3 linked regions of the Oryzias latipes genome follow. The protein of the gene in region 1 purifies or fractionates together with the protein of each later gene. This does not show direct contact. Links are inferred from orthologs where the notes say so. Each region holds a gene or a part of one and is shown in the gene's direction. Other genes may lie near its edges.

Region 1 (4,234 bases):
TCTAGAGGACCTTGTTGCAAACATCAGCGTCCAGAACAGGAAGGCCCCCCATATCACTGAAAAGAAACTTTATTGTAACTGGCGTCACTAACAATTATGTTTTTTTCCGTTTTTACCTTTTAATTTAGAAAATTCTGCAAATCTGAACACGTTTAGTTTAGAAGACTTAATACACTAGAGCCACACCTTCTGGACTTTGCGCTTTTGGGCGATGATGTCAGGCGCCATCATGTCTGCAGCAAGGTTCTCTCTCTTAGTTTGATAACAGCAGACACATCTGGAAAAAGAAATCTGTGTTTCAGGCTCCACCTGCTGCTGAAGATGGAAACCAGGAGGCTGAAGTTCCTCCAGACGTCCCGGTGTCCTCCTCCAATGAAAGCAGCGTGCGAGCGGATCCGTTTCCTCCTGGAAAGTCCCACTCCAGAGGAGTTCAGGGCCAGAGACGTCAGAACCAGATGAGGGGGCCGAGGAGAGGAGGCAGGACCAGGCCGCAGCATCCGAGAGCTGCCCCCATCACGGAGCACCTGGACAAACTCTCTCTGTCCTCTGAAGCACCTTTGAGGACCAAAGCTCCGCTCGGTTCTGAACAGTGGGCGCACAGGGACCCAGACTCGGGCCGATCCAGGACAGACGAAGAGGAATCTGCAGCGCAACAGGAGATGCAGCTTTTGCCCGACCATCAGGCCTCGCTCCAATCCGCCGTGGAATCCGAATGCTTAAAGGACTGCGCAGGCTCCGCTGGTGGCCGCAGCCATAGTGGAAGGAGGAGGGGTCCTTATCGACCCACCCAGCACGCCGGGCCTCCTGGACTCGGGCGCCATCACTGGGACGGTCGAGCTGCGAGAAGCAGAGGCGGACACCACCGGGGTCACGGCAGGGGTTTCCAGCAGAGGGTGGTGGAGAGGGGAAGGGAGGAGGTGCTATGACACAGGGCAGCAGGAGGGTCAAGCCAACATGTGTGTGCCTCCATCGTCAGCCTGCACAGATTTAAACCCTGCAACAGAAGAGACGCTCACTGGAACCTCAGACTGTCCTCGCCGCCGCCATGCTCCTTCATCCTCACTAACATCAGCTGCAGACAGCAGCTGCTTTACCTTGTGATGCCATGTGACCTGAAAGAGCTGCGATTAAAAAATGTTTGTGGATGTGATAATTGTGTTTTATATTGATATTTTTGTACAAATTCATTTGTGTTATTTGATCATTCTAACGTAGTTAAACCTATTTTTAAATTAAAACGTTCAGTTTTTGGAGCAGAAATGGAAAAGGCTTTTAAACTCTTATGGAATATGCACCGCTACGTAATGTACTACAAACGGTTATATACGGTCCGTTTGCCACAGGTCAGTCGGTAGGGCTTGTGGGAAATGTAGTCAGAGATCGTTCGAGGCGCCATCTTTTTTCCCCGGCAACCTGTGGTCGAACTGCGCAGAATCGCAGCGCGTGTTTGCGCAGAAGCGTCAGGGATGACGGGCGGGAGCGCCTTTCACAAGAACTACAGCAACAATAAGGACTCGGAACCCCGAATCGGTGTGGAAATGGACTCGAGTCGACCCGAGCACGAGCGGGGGGAGCTGGAAAGCAGCATGCCCGCCGCGTGCTCCTCCAACGGCAGCGGCGGGGAGGAGGACGAGGCGGAGGCCCACGGCCGGACACGAGAAGCCGGGGCCTCGAGTAATCAGCACACCCCGGAGGGAGGCGGGGTGCTCTGCGGCGGGAGGGAGCAGGAGGTGTCGGTGGAAATCGGAGTGACGTATTTGTGTCAAAGAGCGGACAAAACATGGCGTGAGTGAAGTTCCCGTTCCGGTAAAGCAACAGCAGTGAGTCGGTAGACGACAAAAATGAACAAATTAGCAGAAAAATGCTCAATTTAGAGAGGGAGGATGTAAACAAAAAACGCTGCCTAGCTGGTGTGTATTTTTGCTTCGATCATGTTAACAATACTGTCATTAAGGAAATAATTAGTTTAAAGGAATAAAAGGTTAAAGTAGATTTATTTTTTATTTTTATGACTGAGTGTTTGGCTCGCTGTTTCTGTTTGGTTTGTAAACACTGTTAGCATTTCATCAGCTGTTAGCATCATTGGACATCATTTGATGAACCACAACAACAACGATGTAAACAAAGATCAAATCTGCTTTAATTAGGGACCACAGGCCACACATTTCTAAGGTCCAGAGACAAAAGATGCTGACCACAAACGATAGAGCTTCCAATCATAAACACAGAAATACATAAAATACATCTATAGAGCGGAAATTAAGCAAGTTATTAATATTTTACGTCTTAATGATTGCCTTTGTTTTCGCGGGAAGACTCAGTAATCACCATTAGACATGTCATGTGATTCTGCCATTTTTGATATTTTTCAAAGGATCGTTCATTTTGGGTGATTACATGCGAGTGCAGTTTATTATCCTGCAGTAAGGGCTTGAACCTGTGACGCCTCTTTACCGTGCTCATTAATATAACTTCTCACGATGTGAGAGTTTTCTCCGTGTTTAAGGAGTAGGTTTTTATTCATCTTCACGAAGCTGTGAAATCGATCCAAACTCGTGAGAAAGCTGCCGTTGGCTCACAAATGTCCGCTAAGTTCCCTGTACCTTGTTCTGAATTGAAATCGAAGCATAAGCTATCCCAGTAAGCACCACCACGCATGTAGTAAACAGCATTATTTTTCTTTTTAAATGACATTCTGCTGTCTGGACTGCCTGTTTAATCTCCGTTTGTAAATCTGTTGATTGTTTTCAGACACAGCGGAGGTGATCCAGTCCCGGCTGAACGAGCAGGAGGGCAGGGAGGAGTTCTACGTGCACTACGTGGGCTGTAAGTACACTTCTGCTACCCCTCCTGGTCCTCCTCTGTGCGTCTCTTCACCTGATTCATCTGATGGTTCTTGTAGTCAACCGCCGTCTGGACGAATGGGTGGGAAAGTCCCGCCTGGCGCTGACCAAGACGGTGAAGGACGCCGTGAGGAAGAGCACTGAGGTTGGAGGCGTTGGGGATCTGGGAGACCAGCCTGAGAGGAAGATCACACGCAACCAGAAGCGCAAGCACGATGAGATCAACCACGTGCAGAAGGTGGAGACGTTTGCTTTGCGGCGTGGCTGTCAGTGATGCTGGTCGTGTCGGCTTAACGGCTTCCTTTTTCAGACGTACGCAGAGATGGACCCGACGACAGCCGCACTGGAGAAGGAGCACGAAGCGGTACGTGGACGTCCTCTCTGTGTGCTTTGACTGTCAGCCTGTGGAACTTCTCACCCTTTAATGGTTTCGTCTTTGGATGTACAGATCACCAAAGTGAAATACGTGGATAAAATCCAGATAGGAAACTTTGAAATTGACGCCTGGTACTTCTCTCCATTTCCTGAAGACTACGGGAAGCAGCCCAAGCTGTGGATCTGCGAGTACTGTCTCAAATACATGAAGTACGAGAAGACGTTCAGATATCACCTGGTCAGTTCAGCTCTCGTCCTCTTTCACATATCGGCAGCTGTCTGATTTACAACGATTTGAATAAAGAAATACTGAGAAAGGCAAATTTAGGTTTAATTATCTTTCTATACGTCTTTCATCATAAGAAAAATGCCACAAAAACATGTTCAAAACCCCAAAAACAACAAGTTTTATCGCCGTGGGTCTTTAAAGTTACTAAAAGTAAAACAAAAAACTAGACAACTGACTTTATTTATATTCTGTTCTGGTTTCATTTGATGCTCCTGAAATGTAGCAATAGATATTTTTGTAATAGACGTGTTTCCTGTATTTGGGTTCAATTATTTTCTGTTTTATTTTATTTTTTAAAGTTATCTTTAGTTGTGGACACATTATATTGGTTCACTTTAAACGCCTCTTGTGCCGTGAGAAGACGTCCGGTCTTTGCAGACGGACTGCCGGCTGTTTCTGACGGGAAGCTGCTGTTCTGCTTTGTGTTCGCTCACGCGTGTTTGCCTCCATTCAGGCTCTCCATGACGCAGCAGCGTGATGATGAAAACCAAGGAAAGTCTGACCCCCCCCTCTTCTTCTTTCAGTCTCACTGTCAGTGGAGGCAGCCCCCCGGCAAGGAGATCTACAGGCGGAGCAACATCTCCGTGTACGAGGTGGACGGGCGGGACCACAAGGTGAGCGTCCTGGAAACATCCATCTTCCAAATCCGCTGATTCCCTTTCGGGATCACGGGGTTGCTGGAGCCTATCCCAGCCTCTGTCGGTTGGAGGCCACACTCGCATTCAAC
Region 2 (4,322 bases), on another chromosome or scaffold:
TGTTTTTTTACCCCATCACACTAGAACAATTGACCACAGCAAAAACAGAACAAACATCACTCTGAATTTAAATGTTTGAGGAGACACTTAAACTAAAGGAGCTCCTTTGTCTTAAAAAAAAGGGTATAGTTTCATGTTTAAATTAATTGCACTTGCAATTAATTTTTCATTCCCTTCTTTGCTCTCTGATTGATGAGTGTTAGTAGGTTGAGCAAATACCGTTTCCTGTTTTGCTAAACTTCAAGAATTTTTTCCAGAGTTAAACTTTTTTTTCTTTTCAAAGATGTTTGGGATTGTTTTTTTTTGTTTGCTTGTTTGTTTTTATCAAGTCTGAAGTCAAGCATTAGCATGTTTTTGCATTGTTTTCTCAGACCACAATTGCCTAATTTGCAGATATAATCTGACCTTGATCTATTATAAGTCCAGAAGTGTTTTTAGCGATTTTAATCATAATGTTTTTGTTTTGGCATTTTTGTCAGAAAGGGGATAAATAATACATTCTTAAAACTTTTTTAATCCTTTTTTTTAACAAGAAGAAGAAGAAAATAACTAAGGAAATTAATGTAACTAATTTACTAAAACATGTTTGGTTTGGGCAACATCTTTTACTAACATCGTTTATATTTGCAGGACTTGCACGTTGTGCTAAAAATCAATTGTTTATGAAACTGCAATTTTCTTGTAGCCTGGAAAAATAGGAAATCTGATTCTAAAATAAACAAGTGTGAAATATCTATTGTTTTACTGATAAGATGACGACGGCATTTTTAGCATCACTAAGCCAAATATTTTATTTATTTTGGTATTAAGAAAACTTTTTGCAGATATTTTTTGCATCTTTTTATGTAATTTTAGTAAATAAGTGTCGTCCCTTCTTTCACTTAGATTTGACATAATATTAGAATTTTCTAAGAGATTATGTGACTTTTGAAGTAAGATACCACTTCAGATAAAGAAACTGTTAATAATCATATGTTAATTTAGTAATTAACATAATTATTGTGACTGTATGTAGAAACATGTCATTGTTTTAGAAAAGGTGTGACAAAATATCGAATTTTACTTCTAGTTTTTCGGCATGTTTGTACAAAAACATTTTTTTTTATTCTGAAAAATTAGTTTTCAAACTCTTTATGTAGACTTTTTGTGAGCTTATTGTGACATCTATTGGTCAATTTATGAAATTACACATGTACGGTGTCCGTGAAAGACCTGTTTTTGTTGATCGAATTGGAGTTTTGTAAGTTGCTTTCGAATTTATGGGAAATTTGAATGTTATATGAATACAAACACGTCTCATCAGTGTCACTACTGCATGTGATGTTATATTAGTCCATCTCTAATGTAAATGTGAATATTTTCTTCGTTTTTAAACATAAATTTAAACCATTAGAGCGAATCTTCTCCGTAACATCTGGATGATAAAAGAAATTTACGAGCACCAGTGAAAGCACCATCCGTTTTCAACAGCGCCACCCTGCTTCTATTGGAAGCCTGCGTAGAAGAAGACCACCCCGGGCGGGAAATGTTTTGGAAACGAAAGAGTTAAGGAGTTTGTAGCTTCAGATCGAAGTCTTCTCTCTCACACGTCGCCATGAACAAATGAATTCGCGAGGAATTAAATATCATTTTCACAAAGGAGAACGAGTTCTGTGCTTTGAACCCGACCCTAGCAAGGCTAAAGTGCTATATGACGCAAAGGTAACGTTTTCCGCAAACTTTAGCGGGCATTGATATAAGTAATTACACTGTAATAACGGCTTTATGTTTGCAATGGGGTTTTAAAAAGCGCCTTGTGTTTTATTATGAGTGGCGTTTTCTGTCAATAGTAATTGTTGTCGCATCTTTTCCGGGTACGTTTGATTTAGATTTGTCGTGTGGAAAACAGCTTCCGAATAAGTTCTTGAAACTCTCCCAATAAAGCATTTTATGCATATAAAACTCACACGTTTAAGTTTTTGAAGAGTTATTTGTATGCAAATTTCCCAAAACGCACTAATCGATCGGTTTTGGAGCAGGAAGGTAGCACGGTGGCGTTTCGTCCAATCAAATTGGACCTCAGCGTGTCAACAAACAAACAAACCCAGCGCGGCTAACCCGAACAACGCTGTCGTTTCATGCAGCACAGTGGGGTTTCTGAGGTGGAAAAAGACGCCAAACATCGGTATTTTAACTTTTTTTCGCCATATGCATCGATTGCATGACTGTAGCACCGCCAGGCTAATGCTAAACGGCAGATATATGACGGAAAGCGGGGCACTGAAGGAAACCGATGCTAACGTCCGCTAGCTAGCAGCTAGCATAGGCCTGCTGGTAAACGCGATCATTTTTAAACGACGCAGACATTCAATTTTATTTTAGCCTAAATAAAAAAGAAATTATTGTTTGTTAATTTCGCTCAGATGCATGGGATATACAGAGGTTTTAAACCGTATTTCTCACGAATTAGCTGCTTCGTGCTAACTTGGCCATAAGTGACCTAATAAATCCGATATATTTACTAGTCGTTATTAATGTAACTCTTGATTTGTGGCTTTCTTACGTTATTTTAGGTCAGTTTTACGATTTTGCTGTCCTTTTTTGCCCTTTAGTGACATAAAATTTAATTACTATAGGAATAATTTTAATGTTTATAATATCCAGTCAGGACCATAAATATTTGGACAGAGACACATTCTTTCTAATTTTGTTTCTGTTCATTACCACAGTGAATTTTAAATAAAACCACTCAGACGCCATTGAAGTGCAGACTTTCAGCTTTTATTCCATGGGTCGAACTAAAAGATTGCATAAAAATGTGAAAAACTAAAGCATTTTATTTAAACACAATCCCTTCATTCCGTGGGCTCGTAAGTAATTGGACAAATGACATAACTGAAAACAAAATGGTCATTACTAATATTTGGTTGAAAACCCTTTGTTGGCAGTCATACTACAGCCTGAAGTCTTGAACTCATGGACATCACCAGATGCTGGGTTTTCTCCTTCTGAATGCTCTGCCAGGCGGCTTTCAGTTGCTGTTTGTTGTCTGAAGTTTAGTCTTCAACAAGTGAAATGCATGCTCAATTGGGTTGAGATCAGGTGACTGACTTGGCCATTCAAGAATATTCCACTTCTTTGCTTTAATAAACTCCTGCCTTGCTTTGGCTGTATGATTTGGGTTGTTGTCCATCTGTATTATGAAACGCCGCCCAATCAGTTTGGCTGCATTCACCTGGATCTGTGCAGACAGTATGTCTCTGAACACCTCAGAATTCATTGGGCTGCTTCTGTCCTGTGTCACGTCATCAATAAACACTAGTGTCCCAGTGCCACTAGCAGCCATGGACGCCCAGACCATCACACTGCCTCCACAGTGTTTTACTGATGATGTAGTGTGCTTTGGATCATGTGCTTCTCCACGCCTTCTCCATACTTTTCTCTTGCCATCATTCTGGTAGAGGTTGATTTTGGTTTCATCTGTCCAAAGAAGGGTTTTTCAGAACTGTGCTAGCTTTTTTAAATGCTATTTAGCAAAGTCCAATCTAGCCTTCCTATTCTTGAGGCTTATGAGTGGCTTGCATCTTGAAGTGTACCCTCTGTATCTACTTTCATGCAGTCTTCTTTTGATGGTAGACTTGGATATTGATACGCCTACCTCCTGGAGAGTGTTGTTCAGTTGGTTGGCTGTTGTGAATGGGTTCCTCTTCACCATGGAAATGATTCTGCCATCATCCACCACTGTTGTCTTCCGTGGACGTCCAGGTCTTTTTGTGTTGCTAAGTTCACCAGTGCTTTCTGTCTTTCTCAGGATGTACCACACTGTTGATTTTGCCACTCCTAATACTGTAGCAATTTCTGGCATGGTTTTTTTCTGTTTTCTCAGCTTAATGATGGCTCCTTTCACCTGCATGGAGAGCTCCTTTGACCGCATGTTGTCTGTTCACAGCAAAATCTTCAAAGTGCAAGCACGAGTCCTCTAATCAACTCCAGGCCTTTTATCTGCTTCACTCATAATGACATAACAAGGGAATTGCCCACACCTGCCCATGCAATAGCATGGAAGTCAATTGTCCAATTACTTAGGAGCCCATGAAATGAAGGGATTGTGTTTAAATAATGCTTTAGGTTTTCACACCTTTATGCAATCTTTTTGTTCAACCCATGGAATAAAAGCTGAAAGTCTGCACTTCAATGGCATCTGAGTTGTTTTATGTAAAATTCACTATGCTAATGTACAGAAACAAAATGAGAAAGAATGTGTGTCTGTCCAAATATTTATGGTCCTGACTGTACCTACGTGTTACTCTTGACATGCAGAGATTCCAGCTACTGGATGAATT
Region 3 (3,639 bases), on another chromosome or scaffold:
CAATAAACTCCCTTCACTTTATCCTTCAAAAAGAATGCATGTAGCATTATTCCAATCATTTATTTTAAGTGTTTGTTCTGTTGTTTTGGTGAAGTTTTATTTAAATAAAGAAGATGGACATCTGTAAATATACATTTGAAGAAATGCTTTACAATTTCTTTTGTTTATGTCAAAGAAACATTGATCACCATCAGAATAAGAAATATGCACGGAAATATGTTATCTTTTCGATCAATCTCATCCGTGCCGTCTCTCCTGTACAGAATGTGCTCAGTTTGCCAAATCTAAATAAATCTTGAATCCCGAGTAAATCTTTTTTATTCTATAATATTAGATTAATTTTTCTAAGGAGGTTTGAACTTTGAGAGTTTAAGCACGAGAAAAGTGTGAAAATGTCCACGTCTGTCTGAGAAAAGTGTTTAAAGAGGAGTGTAGGATTAAAGATAATTTACAGCCTTAAAACATCTGTATTCCTACTTTGCAAATGTCACTTATTTTGGGTTATTTTTAGAACATAACCCCTGTGATAAATGACAAAACACTGTATTCATCAAATGCCTTTTTTCATATTTTCTCTAGTATTTTCAGTTATAAGTCGTGGGATTCTCAATGGAGTTTTTATTTATTTATTTATTTTTACCAAATCCACAGATTTAAGGCTGGTTAATCCAGGTTTGGTCTAATAGAATAAGTCTATGTAACCATTGAAAGAAAAAAAGGGGCTCACCAAACATGTTTTAACCCCGTGTTGACCTTTCTTCTGGTTTTTACAGACTCGACTGTGGGGGGTGCAGCTCATCGTGGTGATGTGAAGACTGCTGGCAGGCGCACATCCGCACCACCTGCAGTAAGCACGCATGGTCAACAGCAGAGGGCGCTGCTGAGGGAGAAGAGCAAAGAGAACCAGCTGGACAGGATCAGCTGCCAGCTGCAGGACTCAGACAAGGGTGGCTTTGACTTTGGTCAGTATGATGCTGGGTGTCATTTTTATTTAAATAAAAAAGGATTCCTTTTTTTTATTTTGTTTATACATATTTCATGCTGTTCATCGTTGGTTTGACCTCGTACGATACACTTCTATTCAAGTACCAGTGGAATTATCTTGGCTTTACTTGGATTGGGCTTAATTCTTCTCACTCAATGGTCTCCAGGGTCTGTAAAAGACAAAACTAAGGAGAAACCAAAACAGAAGGACTTCCTCCGCATTAAACTCAAGAAGAAGAAGAAGAAAAAGAAAGCCAAGTCTGGTAAGAACCAGGTCCCTGGCACAGGGCGAGGTCGAAAAGCTGCTGCCCTGCATGTGCTCTGGCTGTGACATTGTGTGCAAAGTTAAAGCACCTCATTCACTCCTTTCTGTGTGCTGATCGAGCTTCTGTGTGTGTCCTGCTGGTCTGAGTCTTCAAGAAGCCACAGTTTATTTTAGAACCTAAGTTTTGGTAATAATAAGAGTTGTTTTGCCGCTCGAATGCAGACTAATCAAGAAGAAAATACTTTTTTCTGTCTCTTATTGGCATCCACTCACACACATACATATTTGAAGGGTTGACATGGACATTGTTGTACATCCTGCCTGGCTTCCTTTGGCCGGAGGCTTGATGAATTTGTGTTATATCCTCCTGACAAAGTTTGTCATCTGTAGAGGACACTTCTAAACCTGAATATCTCCCAACCCCTGCATACTACTGAATTAACTCACTATAATATCTACAGAGAACATTTGGGGATTTTCAATGATGTGAAGGGGTGGGGCTCTGGGATTTTTAGTTTTATTGGATTTAAAAATGTTTTAGAGGACACGTTTTGAAGGAAGTTTTTAATCAAATGTTTGTTGTCACGTTTTCCTCCTGGGCGCTGAGCATTTTCAAAGCTTACTTCTCTGTTCTACATCTGCTTCCCCCCTCCCTGTGTTAACAGACCACACAGGTAGTGAGGAGAATATTGACATTTCAGTATTGGGTCTTCACTCCAAATTGAATTTGCAACTCAAACCCCCCCTCTCACACAATCACAAACCCGAGGCCTACCCCAGCAGGCCTGGACACAGCTTCTCTGAGCAGATACATGTGGATGGTGGGTACCTTTGTGACGGTGTGAGAGTCTGTGTGTGTGTGTTAGTTTGTGCAGATTGTGTCTTTCTGTGAACGTCTTTGGCTCCTCTTGTTACGTTCTTCTGTTTTCTCTGGATTCAGTCCACCATGTGACAAATCTTCCTCCACCTTAAAACAAATGCTGCCGCTCCCATAGGAAGGCATGGTGGGCTGAAGCCTGAGCTGCTTGCTGCTCCTGCTTGCTTAATCACATAAATCAGATTTTATTTAGAGCTCACTTTTTTTTAACAGAGTTTTCAATCGGGTTAAACTGAATCCTTTTGTGTTGGTTCCTGTAGACGAGGACAGCATAAGTGACTGGTCCACTGACAGCTGCGGGTGGAGCGATGATGACTTCGACATGGATTTGGACGTCACTACTCCACCTCTTAGCACAGACTCTGGTGCCGTGGACACAAACGATCAAGAAATTGTCCGATGTATCTGTGAAGTGGAGGAAGAGAATGACTTCATGATTCAGGTGAGCTGGCAGTTTACTTTTCCAAAGGTTTGCTTTAAGGGACACGGCCTTTCAGTTGGTGAAATATGTTTCTCCTGTGTTAGTGTGAAGATTGTTTGTGCTGGCAGCACGGCACCTGCATGGGTCTGCTGGAGGACAACGTCCCGGACAGATACACATGCTACATCTGCAGAGACCCTCCAGGTAAACGAAGGAAGAACAAAGCAGTGGTAGCATGCCTTAAGTCATATTTGCTTTTTTTAATTTATTTTTTTAAATCCAGTTTAAATGCTTACAGGGTGGCCCCGGATCCTTGATGAAATCTTTTAAGGTCTTAGATTTAATTGACCAAAATAAGGCCATCTAAAATATTAAGTTGTCGTGAATGGTCTTAAATTTTTTTCTGGTCAACGCGATGCGACTTCCTGTCTTTAAAAAAAACTTTTTAGGATGTGCTGTGTCAGTAAGGTCGTGAACTGGTCATGAATCATTTAACCTCAACTACCTAGTTCTCTCACGCTTAGAAAGTGGAGAAATGGGGGTTACTCTTAGTGGTTAAAACTGGTTAGTAGTGAACTGTGATTTGCTAAAAGACATTTAAACTTGGAACAATGCGGTCATTTCGCATGTGTAGAGGAAACGGCTAGCTCTGGCTGTTTGCTTCATTCAAAGTGCTTATTATGAATGCATCAGGGCAAGATTTGGCCAATTGTCCCGGCCATCTGGGTATCGTGATGATGTCTTTTAAAAATTTGTATATTTTTATAGCATTATTTTTATTTTTCATCAATTGCTGTGAATATAATGCTAAGTTCACATGTAGCAAAGATGCTAAAAACTTTTGGCGATGGCTCCTCCCACATGCGTCAAGGCATCCACCAGGTTTATGGACACACTTTTGGACGAGTGTCAGGCAGTGAATTTGACGAACACAATGTCAATTCACTGCTCAAATGGAAGACACAGAAGGATGATGTTGAGAAATCCTATTTATTGTGAAGAGCTCCACGAAAGTGTCTGCAGGCACATGTTTGGGGTTAAGTGATCATTCAGAGACTCCCAGTATAATGCTGGTTAGGGCTGCAACAGATC

Evidence for each region.
Region 2: the proteins of kat8 (region 1) and msl3 purify together in Homo sapiens (affinity purification with mass spectrometry; 4 studies listed by BioGRID and IntAct, with this or other methods). This does not show direct contact. The link is inferred for Oryzias latipes from reciprocal best matches to the Homo sapiens genes KAT8 and MSL3.
Region 3: the proteins of kat8 (region 1) and phf20 purify together in Homo sapiens (affinity purification with mass spectrometry; 3 studies listed by BioGRID and IntAct, counting the BioPlex papers as one, with this or other methods). This does not show direct contact. The link is inferred for Oryzias latipes from reciprocal best matches to the Homo sapiens genes KAT8 and PHF20.

The regions. Positions count from the first base shown.
Region 1 is NC_019866.2:2,389,652-2,393,885, forward strand, and holds the start of kat8 (histone acetyltransferase KAT8), read left to right. Parts: upstream 1-1,385; 5' UTR 1,386-1,466; coding exon 1,467-1,785; intron 1,786-2,751; coding exon 2,752-2,826; intron 2,827-2,902; coding exon 2,903-3,081; intron 3,082-3,153; coding exon 3,154-3,207; intron 3,208-3,291; coding exon 3,292-3,456; intron 3,457-4,031; coding exon 4,032-4,121; intron 4,122-4,234. Other genes in the region: E3 ubiquitin-protein ligase RNF25, read left to right, coding at 303-926.
Region 2 is NC_019860.2:20,774,407-20,778,728, forward strand, and holds the start of msl3 (male-specific lethal 3 homolog), read left to right. Parts: upstream 1-1,472; 5' UTR 1,473-1,602; coding exon 1,603-1,701; intron 1,702-2,035; exon of another isoform or gene 2,036-2,117; coding exon of another isoform or gene 2,118-2,141; exon of another isoform or gene 2,142-2,164; intron 2,165-4,322. UniProt on the Homo sapiens protein: Non-catalytic component of the MSL histone acetyltransferase complex, a multiprotein complex that mediates the majority of histone H4 acetylation at 'Lys-16' (H4K16ac), an epigenetic mark that prevents chromatin compaction.
Region 3 is NC_019863.2:26,153,471-26,157,109, forward strand, and holds part of phf20 (PHD finger protein 20), read left to right. Parts: intron 1-773; coding exon 774-962; intron 963-1,151; coding exon 1,152-1,247; intron 1,248-1,914; coding exon 1,915-2,070; intron 2,071-2,386; coding exon 2,387-2,568; intron 2,569-2,651; coding exon 2,652-2,751; intron 2,752-3,639. UniProt on the Homo sapiens protein: Methyllysine-binding protein, component of the MOF histone acetyltransferase protein complex.